2 linked regions of the Diceros bicornis minor genome follow. The protein of the gene in region 2 binds, or shares a complex with, the protein of the main gene of each other region. Links are inferred from orthologs where the notes say so. Each region holds a gene or a part of one and is shown on either strand. Other genes may lie near its edges.

What was found. Proteins that work in one complex are often made in the same cells at the same time.
Region 1: CDK2AP2 (region 2) and MTA1 share a complex: the UniProt entries of both Homo sapiens proteins name them as parts of the nucleosome remodeling and deacetylase (NuRD) repressor complex. The link is inferred for Diceros bicornis minor from reciprocal best matches to the Homo sapiens genes CDK2AP2 and MTA1.

What each region holds. Positions count from the first base shown.
Region 1 is NC_080763.1:49,835,301-49,843,509, forward strand, and holds the start of MTA1 (metastasis-associated protein MTA1), read left to right. Parts: upstream 1-5,081; 5' UTR 5,082-5,099; coding exon 5,100-5,139; intron 5,140-6,383; exon of another isoform or gene 6,384-6,398; coding exon of another isoform or gene 6,399-6,426; coding exon 6,427-6,494; intron 6,495-8,209. UniProt on the Homo sapiens protein: Transcriptional coregulator which can act as both a transcriptional corepressor and coactivator. Acts as a component of the histone deacetylase NuRD complex which participates in the remodeling of chromatin.
Region 2 is NC_080770.1:6,040,569-6,048,260, forward strand, and holds CDK2AP2 (cyclin-dependent kinase 2-associated protein 2), read left to right. Parts: upstream 1-4,871; 5' UTR 4,872-5,240; coding exon 5,241-5,322; intron 5,323-5,328; exon of another isoform or gene 5,329-5,464; intron 5,465-5,637; coding exon 5,638-5,738; intron 5,739-5,826; coding exon 5,827-5,959; intron 5,960-6,326; coding exon 6,327-6,394; 3' UTR 6,395-6,846; downstream 6,847-7,692. UniProt on the Homo sapiens protein: Acts as a component of the histone deacetylase NuRD complex which participates in the remodeling of chromatin.

The DNA of each region.
Region 1 (8,209 bases), on a different chromosome or scaffold from region 2:
AGTCAACAGATGTTACTGATAGCTGTTCAGTTGTTTATTCAAGGCATCAGTGGTCAGTTTGAAGTTAGTGAAGATGAGCCTCTGTGAAGAGTCTGGTGGACCAGGTATGCCGAGAATATTTTCGAACAATTGGGGAAAACACTAATTTAGTGCAAACTGAAGTGGAATCTGCCAAGATGCTGCGATGGTTAATTTTATGTGTCAACTTGACTAGGCTAAGGGAGGCCCAGATAGCTGGTAAGACATTATTTCTGGGTGTGTCCAAGAGGGTGTTTCTGGAAGAGATTAGCATTTTAATCAGTAGACTAAGTAAAGAGGATCTGCCCTCCCCATTGTGGGCGGACATCATCCAATCCATTGAGGGCTGGAATAGAACAAAAAGGCTGAGGAGGGGTGAATTCTTGCTCTCTCTTTTTGAGCTGGGATGTCCATCTTCTCCTGTCCTCAGACATTGGAGCTCCTGGTTCTCGAGCCTTCGGACTCTGGGACTTACACCTGCAGCCCTTGGGTCTCCAGCTTGCAGACAGCAGATTGTGGGACTTCTCAGCCTCCATAACCACACGAGCCAGTCCTTATAATAAACATATGTGTGTGTACACACACACACACACACACACACACACACATATGCATACATCTCTCCAGTTGGTTCTGTTTCTCTGGAGAACCCTGGCTAATACAGATGTGTTATAAATGATGGTGATAAAATGTATGGAGCAGAAACGGGCTTGGTTGGACAAATTTACAAAGCTTGTTAAAATGTAAGGTGCTTAAAGCCTACAGTTACTCGTATTCCTTGTCAGCGGGTACTTTGTGGACAATATTTGAATCTGTCATGTCTTATGGAACCAGTTGGGTCAACAGTGAACTTCTTTTGACCTCGTGGACTTAACTATCATTAGTTCTGTGAATTTTTATCAGATATACAAGCTGAATATCTTGACTTGCCCTACCATACAGCAGCTTGATGGTGTAGCAATAGTTAAATTTTACTGTAATTTCTTAAACTCGGTGGAAATAGAAATTTTTCGGAATGAGAAGAACCACTCTCAACCACCATTATCAAACACGGAATGCCTTTGGAAATTAGTTTTTGCTGCATACTTGATAACGATCCTTCATGAATTCATCTGAAAATTGCATAAAATAGCAGTTAATGCAAAACTTATACTGTGGTAAAGTCATTTTGGTGACAACAAATGTCTGAGTCACAAACTTGCTTTATACAGTTTCCTTACTGTCAAAAGTCAAAACGAGAAATGCGACCTCCATTCCGGCCAGATTTGCAGCAGGCGTATTTCCTGAGCTCAAACTACAGTTCCAGCAGTGCTTCCTGGACCTCAGTGCAAGTGCAAAGGAAATTTCTGTATTTCAAAATGCATTTAACAGTGTTGAGGAGCTCCCACCCAACCTTCATTTGAGAGTGATTGATCTGTAATGCAATTGCATGCTACAGTTCATGGTCCCCAGGACCATCCTCAAGTTCAATAATTTGCTGGAAGGACTCACAGAACTCAGCAAAGCAATTATACTCATGGTTACAGTTTATTACAACAAAAGGGTACAGACCCAAATCAGCAAAAGTAAGAAGCACGGAGGTCAGTGTCCAGGAGAGACCAGTTGCAAGCTTCCAGTTGGCCTCGCCCGGTGGAGTTGTGGACGGTGCATAATTCTCTCAGCCACCATGAGTGACAGTATACACGAAGTTTGCTTACCTGAGCCTCAGGGTCCAGGTTGTTTATCTCAGGTTGGTCACATAGTCGTGGCTGACCATCTGTGGCTGGCCTTAGTTGCCCAGTCTCTAGCCCTCCAGAGGTTATGTCCCCTGGTCAGCAGAGACTCTTATCAGGCAGGACACTCCAAGGGCTTTGAGGTTACCTCCCAGGAGCAGGTCAAGGGCCAAACCTTACTTTGGAAGGTGCAGAGTGTGGACAACCCAGGCCAGTTGAATTAACCCTTTACTGCACATAGGCTAAAAGGAAAATGTCCAGAGAAAAATCTAATGGAGTTCAGTAAATACCTTCCAAGTGATGAGTATGCTCCATTAAAACTGTATACCTGTAGTTAGATACCAGTATTTGGCAGCACCCATCTGCGTGGAAAGACGTTCACGGATGAAACACATGAGATCGCATCACAGATCAGCATGCACAGGGGAGCATTTCCCATTGATTTTGATGACAGCCAATGCTAACTTTGAACTCCAAGGAAGCAAAATGTCCTCCCCCCAGAACAGGATTCAGTTCTTATTAGTAGACCCATATTATTAGACACCTTTACTTGATTATTATTGTTTTAATTTAATTTCATCAGTAAAAAGTTTGTGGCAATGTGTTGTATTAGTACCTACATGGTATCCTTGGTAAAGTATTTACCATCTGGCCCTTTACCGAAAAGGTTTGACAACCTGTGTTCTAATCCATGGTACCTTATGTTACTGTTTATTGAGATCTTCATTGATTTTTCTGACCAGTGTTTTGTAATTTCCAGCATATAGGTCTTTGCACAGAACTTTTGATCTTTAAAGATCTGTGGACCATTTGTAAACTGATGCTTAAGTGTGGGATGTGTCTTGGAGCTATTGTAAATGGTACTTTTTATATACTATTTTAGTATCCTATGAGCTTGCTGAATCCTTACTCTTTAGTTTTAATAGCTTTTTTTGTAGACTGAGAAGTTCTGTGTAGACAGCCATGTTATCTGCTTGTAGAAAGTTTTGCCTGTTCCTTTCCAATCTGCATGCTGTTCATTTCCTTGTTTATTTCTCCTCCTTGCACTGACTGGGACTTCTAGGTGAACAGCAGTGGAGACAGTCGACATATTTGCCTTCTCCTGATTTTAGGGGGAAGTGTTTCATCATTAAGTGTGACGTTAGCTGTAGGTTTTTTGTAAATGCCTTCTATCAGGTTGAGGAAGTTCCCTTTAATTCCTGGTTTGCTTAAGAGTTTGTATCAGGGGGCCAGCCCCGTGGCGTAGCGGTTAAGTGCGCGCGCTCCACTACTGGCAGCCCGGGGTTCAGATCCCGGGTGCGCACCAACATGCTGCTTCTCTGGCCATGCTGAGGCTGAGTCCCACATACAGCAACTAGAAGGATGTGCACCTATGACGTACAACTATCTACTGGGGCTTTGCGGGGGGGGGGAAGAGTTTGTATCAGGAATATGTGTTGGATTTTGTCAGATCTTCTCCAGTGTCTATTGAGACGGTCATGGTTCTTTAGTCTGTTGACGTGATTTTCAGTGTTGAACCAACCTTGTATTCCTGGATGAATCCAGGGGTGGAGATTTATTATCCTTTTTTATATGTTACTAGCTTCGATTTGCTAATGTTTTGTTGAGAAGTTTTGCATCTGTGTTCATGAGGGGCGTTGGTCTGTGGGTTTCTGGTGACATCTTTGGTTGCGGTGTCGGTGTGATGCTGGCCTCGTGAGCCAGTCGGGGAGTGTTCCCTCCCCTTCTGCCTTTGGGAGGGTTGGTGTAGACTTGGTGTTAAATCTTTCTTAAATGCTTGGTAGGATTGCCCAGTGAAGCCATCTGGGCCCGGAGGTTTTTTTGTGTCTTTCTTTTTCTTTTTGGTTGTTGTTGGGAGGTTTTAGTGTATGAATCAGCTTCCCTGCTCGGTGTGGGGTGGCCTGTTTCTTCCTGGGTGAGCTTTGGTCCTTCATGTCTTGCAAGCACTTGGTCCATTTCATCCACGTTGTCAGATTGACTGGTAAAGCTGTCTGTACGTCCCTTCCTGCCCTTCTCACGGCAGCAGGATGTGCAGTGATGTCCCCTCTCGCATTCCTGGTGTTGGTTATGTGTGGCTTCTCTCTTTTCCTTATCAGCCTGACCTGAAATTCGTCGATTGATTGTTTCAGTGAGCAGCTTTGGTCCCATTAATTTGTCACCACTGCGTTTTACTCACCTTCGTTTTTTCTTTTTTTGCTGAGGAAGGTTCAAGTGGTGTAGGTCCATGCCTGGAAATCAAACCCGGGCCGCCAAAGCGGAGCAAGCCGATCTTAACCACTAGGCCACGGGGCTGGCCCTGGCCTTGGTTTTTGCTGGTTATGATTTCCTTCTGGCTTGTTTGTTTTCCCATTTACAGAAACGCAATTGGCATACAGTAAAGCCCTCTCCTTGTAAGTGTGCAGTTCTGTGAGTTTTGGGAAATGTCTACAGTCATGAGACAGCCCAGTTCCTGTCTCCAAGCCCTGCAGGCCCGAGTGGTCACCCCTCCTGCCACCTGCAGCCGCTGGCCTCTTCTCTGCCCTCTGGCTTTCCTGGGCAGGCACTGCGCCACCCGCAGCCCAGGAGAGCACCCTCGAGTGTCATCCGAGCACAGTGTGACCAGCAGGACTTCAGCTGGCACTGCCAAGGAGGCAGCCATTGGACGGACGGACCCGCTGCTGGTCTGTCTGCTCCCCACTTGAGGGGAACATTTGGGTTGTTTGCAGTTTTTGGCACATATGAATAATTATTTGAGGTTTAATTTGCTCTTTATGTAGTTTCTTAGAATGAAAGCTTAGATGATTGATTTGAGATCTTTTTATAAAAACCACTTTATTGAGATAATTTTCATTTGATAAAATTCACCCATTTTGCTTGTACAGTTCAATGAGTTTTAGTATTTTCATGAGTTGTACAGCATCACCACAATCTAAATTCAGAACATTCCCATCACCCTAAAACAAACCTCGTGCCCATCGACAGTCATCTTCTGTAGACGCCTTTGTTTTCAGCTGACCTCTGAACATGGCCCGCTGAGGGCTGCGGCTAGGCTCACTCTGGGTGTTTAGTCTCGTTGCTCTTTTGTTCCGTGGAGCTCCCTGAGGGCGCAGCATGTCTGATCTACCCGTGTCCTCAGGGCAGCACAGGTGAGCCCGGGGAGTAACGTTCACAGATGTGTGCCCCCTAGGTGCGTGCCTGCAGGTGCATCCTCACAGGTGTGCACCCGTAAGTGTGTCCCTACAGGTGTATCCTCACAACCTTGTGCACCCACAGGTGTGAACCTGCAGGTGCATCCTCACAGGTGTGTCCTCACAGGTGTGTCCTCACAGGTGTGTGCCCCATGGATGTGTCCCCACAGGTGTATCCTCACAGGTGCGTGCACCCACAGATATGAGCCTGCAGGTGTGTCCTCATAGGTGTGTACCTGCAGGTGCGTGTCGACAGCAGGAGGCAGATGCTTTTTCAGACCCCTCCACAGGGTCCAGGCAGCACAGGTGGGACCTCCCATGTGGACAGGGCTGAGCTGGCTCCTTCGGCATTTGCTGGTCTTACTGCAGTTTGCCAAATCTGTGCCCAGTTGTGGGCATTTGGGCCATATCCAGGCTTTAACTGAATTCCAGCTAAGAGGAGCCTCCTGGTTGGCCGTCTCCTGCAGGGCTGGCCCAGCCTGCGACTGCAGGCCTCCTCCATGGGTGGGGAGGGACGTGGTGAAGAAGGCCTTCGCATTCCTGGTGCAGGTTGGCAGGGACAATGGCTTGGCCTGCTCCTGGAGCTGAGCCTCCCCTGAGCTGCTCCAGTATGCCTGGAGCATAAAGGCGTCGGCTGGGCAAGCCAGGCTGGCAGGTGGGTGGCCTCGTGGCTGTCCTGGGGTTTCCAGGGTGAGCCTCCTGACCTCCCACTGTGGACCTCTCAGAAATCTCGGGAGACTGCCAGCATCCCTAAGCCAGACCCTGACTCTCCCCCTATGGAGCCTGTGGGAAGCCAGAGAGCACATGTGGTTTGTCTGTGAGGAAAGTTTGTACTGACCTGATGGTCTAGGGGACCCATCAGGGTGCTGTCGGCACCCTTTGATCTCGCTCCTCTGGGAGACTGACAATGTCCCTGTGCTAGCAAGCTCTGCCTGGTTTCTGTCCTCCCTCTGCCCCGGAGGCCCAGCCTCCGTTCACTGCTTTTGTTTTTGGAGGGAAAGGTCGAGGGGCATGGGGGGATGTGCATGGAGTTGGGGGAGGAGACACAGGGATCCAGCAGCCCCCAGTGTGCTGGCATGGTCTCTGGCTGCAGCACTCTTGGGCTACCCTCCAGGCCAGCAGCAGCCTCCTGGGAAAGTGTCCCCAGGGGGAAGGTGTCCTAGGGGACAGTGTCCTCAGGGGGAGGCTGCAGCCTGGCCCCCATGGCCTCTCTTGGGAGGGACAGAGCTCCTGGTGTTGGGACCCACGGGATGGGGAGGGCTGCTGGCTCCTGCCTGGAGCGGCCCCCTCCTGCCTCGTCTCGGGCCCTTGCCCAGCACCCACTGATGTGGTTCTGGTTATGTCATCTCTCCCCTGAGACAGTGGGGCCTTCACCTCCTTCATTCCCTCCTGATCCCTAGCCCCCAGAACCGAGGGTACGAGGGAGTGGAGGGGGGTATTTGGGCTCCCCTGGGTCCCTGGGGCGGTGGGAAATTCTGAGTGTGGCAGGCTCTGCTGTGGGATGACGCTCTCTCTGTACCTGTTTGCAGACTATGTGTACTTCGAGAACTCCTCCAGCAACCCTTACCTGATCCGGAGAATCGAGGAGCTCAACAAGGTAGCGTGTGTGTGTGCGGTGTGCCTGGTGGTCCCGTCCCTGCCGGTTGCGGGGGCGGGGGGGGGCAGCGTGCCCCTGCCCTTCCTGCGGCTCTGCCTGGGGCCATCGTCACAGATGAGACAAAACACGCCCCCAGCCTCTGTGCCGTGTTTGCAGGGGACTTCTTGGGTTGGCCCCAGACTGGCCACTGTCTGCTCAGACCTTTGGGTGGCTTCGTCCCCAGGATCACCTGCCTAGACTGGGTGCTCCTCCTTGGAGAGCCCATTAGTGAGGTCCCTGGTGGCCTCACTTGAGGGACATGCTCAGGGGGTGCCTGAGCAGAACAGAAGTGCTCAGAAAGCGTCTGGATTGGACGATTCTGGAGACCAGCCAAAGAGCCAAGGAAGCGGCCTGGGCAACCATAGCCCGAGGGTGCCTGTGGGATCCATGTGCCTAGGGGTTCCCTGCTTGTCTCCTGTCTCCCTCCCTGCTTACTTGGGCCGCCCTCCTCCCCGTCACTCGTCAGGCACTTGCAAGTTGGTCAGGGAAGGGGGTTGTGCTGTACTGGAGGCTGGGTGAGCCCAGAGCCCACCTGGGGCCTGGGATGCAGTGGGAGTGGGCTGACGGGTTGCGAGCCCCGCTACTCCCCCATCTCTCGGATTCAGAATGGCCTCCGTCTTTGGTCAGAGCCTGTCGCATCCTCCTGGCCAGTGGGAATGAGCAGTCTCCCTCCGACCCAGAGGTGTGAGCTGCCTCCCCTCCTCTCCTGCTGGCCTCGTGGTTGGAGGTGTTCGTGGGTGGCGCTGGGGGAGAGGGCAGGCGTGTCCCTTCCTCGTCCGTGGACATGGCCACAACGATGCAGGGTCAGCGGAGCCCCTGGACCTGCAGCTCCTTCCTCCCTGGGCCTCTTCCCTTGATTCCTGCAGAGCAGCTACTGAGCTCCTCTCTGGAGCAGCCCCTCTCCCGGAAGCACCCGTTGTTACTTGTGCTGGCGAGGGGGCCCTTGCTGTGCCTCTGTGAAGCCAGCCCTCAAGAAGCTGCTTTCTTAGACCTCAGGCTTTGTGACAGTGTGGCTTGGGATTCTTGGGACCAGGCAGGATGGGGTGGGAAGGTCAAGTGCTGACCCACAAGGGTCAGACTTAGCTGCAGCTGAACCTGACCCCTTGGCCATGCTTGCCAAGGGCCTCTCCCTGTGGCATCTACCACCACCACCAGGACAAGGAGAGTCGGAGGGGTGCCTGTGTCCCAGCCTGAGCATGTCAGGCTGGTTGGAGTGATCTGGCAGCTCCTGGAAGTTCTGGGGCCAGATCTGGAGGTGGCAGGGGCAGGGGAAGCGACTGGGACATCCTGTGAGGCCACTGCACTGCCGGAGCTTATGCCTCTGCAGGCGCCTCGTTGGCGGGGCCCTGCTCCCAGCTTGCCCAAGCCACAGGGCCTGCGGGAGAATGGGCAGCTGGCCTCCTCAGCTGGAACAGGAGCAAATGGTCGCCCATCTGCACGTGCCGGCACACACTGACGTGGGGACATGAGGAAACAGGCACAGAGACTCCTCAGATGGCAGTGGAGCACGGTTGGAGGGGCTGGGTGTCCACACGTCCTCCAGGTCTCTGCAGTGACAGGTGGTGCTGGCAGGTGGGGCTGTGGCAGCTGGTCTTCCTGGGGCACAGGGCAGGCGGCACCCCAGGGCAGGGGCCATAGGTGCCCTTGGTGACAGGGCCTGCACAGCTCTTGCCCCT
Region 2 (7,692 bases):
CAGGAGGCTCCAGGAGGTTGAGAGACTGGCATAAAGTCACACACCACTAGGATGAAGAGGAGGTGGGACTTGCAGCCAGACGCAGGGCCTCTAAAATCACAGTGCCCGCAAGAGAAGGTGCCTCAGGGTCAGAGTGGACCCAGGACGGGCCGCAGCCTCTTCTAGCTACAGCAAAGGCCTGGTCCCCAGAGCACCGTCTGATCGGCCGCTGCTCCTGCCTGCTGGGAGGGGGGACGAGCCCTGACCTCCTGGCCAAGAAGAGGTGGGAGCTTTTAGCGCCCGTGCCCCGTCCTCACTCATCACTGCTGCCAACAAGATGGCCTAGGGACAGGGCAGGTGGGCAGCCCCCGGGCCCTGCCCAGCCCAGAGACTGGACACCGAGGTGCCAGGGCTGGCTGCAGCCGCCTCAGCATCACTCGCCTGGCAGATCCCACTTAATCCTTAATCCTCAATTAGGTGAGCTCTCCTGCCAGTCGGGCTGGGATGAGGAGGGGTTGCTCCAGCCCTGCAGCTTCTCTGGGAGCCACGGCCCAGTCTCCCTCCCACCGCCCTCCATCGGCTGGCACAGATGGCATTGCTGCCTGAAAAGATGTCTGTCCCCTCTGCAGGGGTTGGGGGCTAGTGATGGATGCGTGCTAGGGGAAGACCAGAACCCCACTCAGGGTCAGCCTCCTACACCCCCTGGCCCCAGCCTGGCAGGCTCTGTGGTTGGGGTGGAGGGGAGGGCAGTTAGTGGGATGGTCATAATTGGCTGCAGTGTGTCCACTGGCACCAGAAGTGCCCACAGCTCCCCCAAACCTCACGAATGCCCTCCTACCCCAAAAGCCTTCTAGCCCAGAAGGTCCCGACACACGACAGCTGGAGCGGGGACCAGGGCCGGGAAGAAACAGCGGGCAGGCAGAGATTGCACTGAGCCAAGAGCCCCTTTCCCACCTAAAGGGGGCACCTGCCGCCCACCTCCATTGACTGTTGCCATTTGGAGCAGGCTGGAACTACAAGATCTTCTGATTTTCCAAGAGAAGCTGTAAATTCAGATTTTTACATTAAGTCCACTTGAAATAGTTTGAGTATAATATACATTCAGTAAGGTGTATAAATCTTAAGTGCACAGCTCAATGAATTTTTACAAGTACACGCACCCAGGTAACTGTCACCCAGATCAACATATTACATCCACTTATCTTATTTTAGAACAGTTCTAGGTTTACAGAATCATTTCAAAGATAGTACAGGGAGCTCCTGTATACTCCACACCCAGCTTCTCCTGTGTGTTAGTCAAGGCTCTCCAGAGAAACAGACCCAATGAATGTGTGTGTGTCTGTGTGTATATGTGTGTGTGTAAAGATATTTATTGTAAGGAATTGGCTCAGGTGATTCTGGGTGCTGAGCAGTCCCACGATCTGCAGTCAGCAACCTACAGACCCAGGAGAGCTGGTGATATAGTTCCAGTCTGAGCCCAAAGACCTGAGAACCAGGAAAGTTGGTGGCATAGGTTCCAGTCTGAGGGCAGGAGAAGACTGATGTCGCAGCTCAACAGTCAGCCAGGCGAAGTTCCCTCTTACACAGCCTTTTTATCCCCTTCAGGTCTTCAACTGATTGGATGAGGCCCACCCACACTGGGAAGGGCAATCTGCTTTACTTTGTCCACCAGTTCAGTGGATGTTAATCTCATCCAGAAACACCCTCACGGACACACCTGGAATGATGTTTGACCACATGTCTGGGCACTCTGTGACCCAGCCAAGTTGACATAAAATTAACCATCACATGAGGGAGAAGTGAGAGTGGCTTCAATGAGACCAGTTGTTGCTGCTATGCTCCCAGTGTCTAAAACACACTGGATGGTCGTGCTGGTTCACATCTTACATTAGAATTGTACATTTGTCACAGTTAACGGACTAACACTGACACACTATTATTAACTAAAGTCCACATTTTATGCAGATTCCATCAGTTTTCCCCTGCTTATCCTTCTTCTGTTCCAGAATGCCCCCCAGGACGCCACATCACATTAGGCATCGTGTGTCCTTAGGCTCCTCTTGGTTGTGATGGTTTCTCAGACTTTCCTTGTTTTTTAATGATCCTGACAGTTTTGAGGAGGACTGGTCAGGTATTTGTAGCATGTCCCTCAACTGGGATTTGTCTGATGTTTTTCTCATGATTAGTCCGGGATTATGGATTTGGGGGAGGAAAACCACGGAGGTAAAGTGCCCTTCTCATCGCGTCATATCAAGGGTGCATGCTATCAACATGATCTCGCCATTGATGTTGACCTTGACCACCTGGCCTGAGGTCGTGTTTGTCAGGGGTCTGTCCTGTAAAATTACTCTTTCTCTCTCTCCTGTTACATACTACACTCTTCGGAAGGAAGTCGCTATGCACAGCCCACACTTAAGGGGTGAGAGGTTATAATCCTCATTAATGGCAGAGTAGCTACATCAATTACTTGCAATTATTCCCTGCAGGAGATTTCTCTCTTCTCCCGCATTTATTTATTTATTCAGTCAGTCATTTATTTTTATCTGCATGGGCTCATAGATATTTATTTTATACAAGTTATAATTCAACACTATTTTATTTATTTTGTTCAAATTGCTGCAGCCTTGGTCAGTGGGAGCGCTTGCAGTTGTTCCTGTGTCCCTTTGCCATACCCCCAGCACCTAGGGGGTTTGGGGATTTGGGGTTTTTTTAGGTTTTTTTCTTTAGCATTTTCTTACCCTTGGCACTACAAGATGCTTCAAGAGCATCTTGTATATGTCCTGCCCCAGTCCTAGAATCAGCCATTTCTCCGAGGAACTCTAGTTCATTTTATTGGAGAATGGTATTAGAAACCAAGATCTGGGTGCAAGGTTGCTTCTAGGACTTTCAGCTGATAGAGTGAGGAGATATGTGTATATACTAACCTACGTATATATACCTTTTTAAATATTTCTGTATGCAACCAAACTGTATCTACATTAAGCTAAACATGAGTTCATATTGATGTCTCCAACTCCAATCCATTACCACATGGATCATTCTAGCCTCCTCCCCTTGCTTACCTGTAACTTCTTATTCCAACAGTGAGAAATCATCCACCCTACGTTTACTTAATTTTCAATTCCTGTGCACATGCGCAGTGGTTTCAGCATTGTTACCCCCACCCCCACCGGAGCCACTTCATCAACTAGAGTACAGTGCTCTGTGCAGTCCCTTTTGTCTTTATTCTTACAGACTCCAGCCACTTCCAGATTCCCACCTTATTCCTCCACTCCCTTCAGTGAAGCCGTTTCATATATTTGTAATACAGCTAGATTCTTTTGTCATAGTCTGCATTCCATCCTGGGATCCCCTGGCCTCCTAAATGATTTTTTAAATTTGCAAACATTAAAGTTTACTCTTTGACAAATGCTTATGTCTTGTATTCACCCTTACAGTATCATACAGAATAGTTTCACCACCCTAAAGAAAATCTCCTATGCTTCACCTATTCAATTCTATCCCTTACACCCCAGGCAACCAGTAATTGTTTACCTTCTGTGTAAGTTTGCCTTTTCCAGAATGCCATACAATTGGAATCATACAGTATGGGGCTTTTTCAGACTGGCTTCTTTCACTTAGCAATATGCCTATCTGTGTCTTTTCATGGCTGGATAAATGATTTCCTTTTATTGCCGAACAATAGTCCATTATATGGATATATCACAGTTTGTCCATTCACCTATTGAAGGCCACCTCCTCTGGGAACACTTCTGTGATGTCACCAGGGAGTCCCTTCGTCTGAGTTCCAATGCACTGTCCCAGTCTCCACATTGTCTTACTGTGCTGTGTACGGGAAGCCGTTGCTTCCCTGCCTTTCTCTCCTTGAGACTAGGAGCTCCTTGAGGACAGAGGCCATGCCAGTTCACTTCGGTATCATCAGTGTCCAGCCTGGGATGGAGGATGGAGTCAGAAAATGTTTGTTGGATGAATGAATGAATAAATGTCCTGGGGATGAGGATAATCTACAGACCTGGGGGCATGAAGGATACACAAGGCTAGAGAGGTTTGGGGGAGAAGTAGCCTGGGAGAAAGGATTAGTGTTTGGAGCAGAGTCTAAGATCTAGAGTTGTGAGGAATGAGATTTGAGGGGAGGGGTCTGGGTGGAGAAACGGATAGGAAAGAGGAGAATGAAACAATAAGCCCTTTATGAATATTCATTTAACCCACACAACAGCCCTGTGAGATAGTTATTAGCGTCCCCATCTTACAGATGGGGAAACCGAGGCACATCGAGATGAGTAACTTGTCCAGGAGGAAATCGCTGGTGGGGGTGGTGTGAGATTCGTACCCTCAGTCCGACTCCGGTCGGTGCTCCTGTCCATGATCCGTTTGGTACAGGGCCCGGCGTGCAGTCAGTAATCAACGAAGGTCAGCTGTTCCTGCTACGGTCATTGCGAGGCACGGGCGTGGGGCCGTGGTGGGGGGGCAGGTTGCGGTCTTCGAGGTCGCCCCTGGACCTAACAGCAGCCTATGAGGATAAGGCAATTGGGAGCAAGAGGCGCGGCGGTAGCGTTGGTGAGGGTCCCGTTGCCATGGGAACAAACGACGGCTTCATGACAGCGCATGCGCGGATCGGGGACCGGGTGTCGCACCGGTGAAAGGTGACGTAAAAGCGCACGGGGTGGAGCGCAGGGCTCGGAACGTCAAAGCCCTGCGTCCTCCGCCACCCGGAGCGGAGGGAAGGCGCGCTCGGCTGTGTCGGCAGCGACAGCAGCCCCAGCTGGACCGAGACCGGGCGGCGCGAAGCTGACGTACGGAGCAGCGCGAGTGAAGCGTGAGGGTGGCGCCGGCGCCCGGGAAGACCTTCTCGGCGCGGACCGGGCGGACCAGACCCTGGTCCGGGCTGCCGAGGCCCCGCCTCTCGGGTCTTGAGACTAATCGGATTGAGAGCGCGCCGGCCCGGGCCGCGAACTCGCCAATTGCCGAGGGCGTCGGCCACCGCCCAATCCGGAGCAGACAGGTGCGAGGTCCGGAAGGCGGAGACCAATCAGCAGCGATTGCGGCATGCTGGGGCCGGTCTCGGCCAATGAGGAGGCCCGAGTGACACCTCCGTGAGCCAATCGGGAGTGAGGGAGCGTTCGTGGCCGCCCGCCCTTCCGGCCTGAGCTGTATTTACCAGGGGCGTGCAGCCGGTTTACCAATCAGAGTGCGGCTGAGCGGCCAGGCAGCCAACCCCGGAGGAGCGGCCGGCCGGCGTCCGCCGCACCCAGGAGTTGGGGATGTCCTACAAACCCATCGCCCCCGCCCCCAGCAGCACCCCCGGCTCCAGCACCCCTGGGCCCGGCACCCCGGTTCCTACAGGTGAGGACCCAGCTCCACCCCTGCTCGCCTGCCCGGGCGGTCGAGGTCTGGAAGAGAAGACGGCCTGAGTTCTGCAATACTGGGCCTGCCGCCTACCTTCGCTGAGCCTCAGTTTGCTGGCCTGGGAAGTGGGCGTCGTCACGTAAGGGCTTGTTGGTGGAGCGCAGGGGGGAGGGATTTGTCCCTGAAGTTGAGCAGCCTGGAATGAAGCATCTCTTTGGAGGGAATCGGGCGAGTCCGGTCGGGGGCTTGGAACGCTGGGAGGAGGTGTCCCTGCCCCGCACTGACTTCGTAAATTACTCGCGCATGTTGCAGCTGGGAGTGTCCCATCGCCGTCGGGCTCGGTGCCGGGAGCCGCTGCCCCTTTCAGACCACTGTTTAACGACTTTGGACCGCCTTCCATGGGCTATGTGCAGGTGAGTGAGGCCGAGGGACTGCCTGTGGATGGGGACTGGAGGCCCCCTCGGGACCTGAGCTCACTGCCCTGTTCCTCTTTTGACACAGGCAATGAAGCCACCTGGCGCCCAGGGCTCCCAGAGCACCTACACAGACCTGCTGTCGGTCATAGAGGAGATGGGCAAAGAGATCCGGCCCACCTATGCTGGCAGCAAGAGCGCCATGGAGCGCCTGAAGAGAGGTAAGTGAGGCCACGCCCACCCCCGCTGCCCAGGAGACTCACACTGGACACTCCTTCATTAGGAAAGGAAGAACATCTGGGGGCCACCAGAGCCAAGCCTAGACCAGGGCCAGTATCAGTCTCCAGAGAGGCATTTTGAATTGAATTGAAATTGAGTCGATTTCCAGGGAAGGACCAGGGAATTTGTATTTCAACAGGGCAAGTTTGAGGATTAGCCAAACCTCTAATCTCATCCAGCTCCTCTTTAGATTATCATCCCTCTTACTGAAAGGAAAGGGGGTGCAGAGAGAAGGGTCTTCCTTTGGAGGGTGGGGGCGGGACTGTGGAGATCAAGACCCTGGATGTTACTTATGCATCCCCACCCCAGGCATCATCCATGCCCGGGCCCTAGTCAGAGAGTGCCTGGCAGAGACAGAGCGGAACGCCCGCACGTAACAGGACGCACCTCCACCTCGGCATCTGGACCTTTCCCGGCCACTGCAGAGCGCCTCCTTCTCCCTGGCCTTCACCCCGAGATGCACTTCCCATCCTGGGCTTCCTGTCCTGTGTCCCTTGGTGGGCGTCCTCCAGGAACCAGGGGGCAGCTCTCACTCCAGTTGGCAGCACTAAGTGGGACCCCCACAAGAGTTAGCAGCGAGGTCACCGTGAGTTTCACCCATGACCTGCCAACAGTGTTGATCCCACTGGAGCCTTCTCCCTTCTGGGGCCCCCATCACTCAGCACTTGCCCAGGACTCCCCACTTCTCCTAGACCCCTTCTCTCCCAGCAGGGCCTCGAAAGGCCTGTCACCTCCCTGCCTTGTCTCCTGGGCCATAGTGATTCTTTTCTCAGTGTGTCTTTTGCTAAATATCCCCTTTTTGTATAAATAAAAGATAATTTGGAGTTGTTTTCTCAGCTCATAATCCTTGAGTCTGGTGCTTCTGCTAAGCCCAGGTGGGCTTTGAAGAAAGAGGGCAAGAGGAGACCCGGAGAGGGGGAAGGGGCAGTGCAGTGGGTGGGAGTGAGGCTGGCTGAGTTAGCCTTGCCCCTGCTGTCCATTGACCTTGGGTGGGACCGTGCCCTTCTCTGGCCCTCAGCCTTCCCAGCTGGAAGTAGTGGAAAGAGTTGAGCTCCAGTAGCTCAGAGCCCTGCCTGCCTGCACGTGGTGTCACCAGGGGGCAGTGCAGGGCCTTGGCTGCCTCCACAGCTGGCGGGCACTGTCACCAGCCTGGGCCTAGATCCTCTGGATTGGCCTTGATGCCTGGCAGGGTGGAAAAGCCTTTTCACTTAAGCTATGTCCTCATGTGCCTTAATGCCCCAGCATCCTAAATTTGGAATCAGCCCTGGGAGGCTCTGAATACACACGGTCTCTGACTCCTTAGAGAGGGGAGGGGGCGCTGGTGCTGCCCTCCCACCAGCACCTGGGAAGCAGAGCCAAAGGGAGAGGACTGGCTTCCAACATGGGTGAGACCCAGCTGGGTGCTGCCATCCTCTGTCCCAGCGCCTTCTAGCCGACTGGGTGTGGTCGCATGAGCCCAGCCCTCAGGTATCTCAGCCTTTGCCCAGGGTCTGGTGGCTGGTTGGTTAGACTTGTGGACCCGGAAGGTATAGGTGGGGCCCCATACAGGGGGTAGCCCACGGATTCGGAGTGCCTGCAGCCTTCTGCCTGGCTCTGTAGCTGAATGACCCCAGAGGCCTGGGGCGCTGGACCCCCACCCCCTAGGTAGAGGCAAGTCAGAGACCAGCTTCTGGCC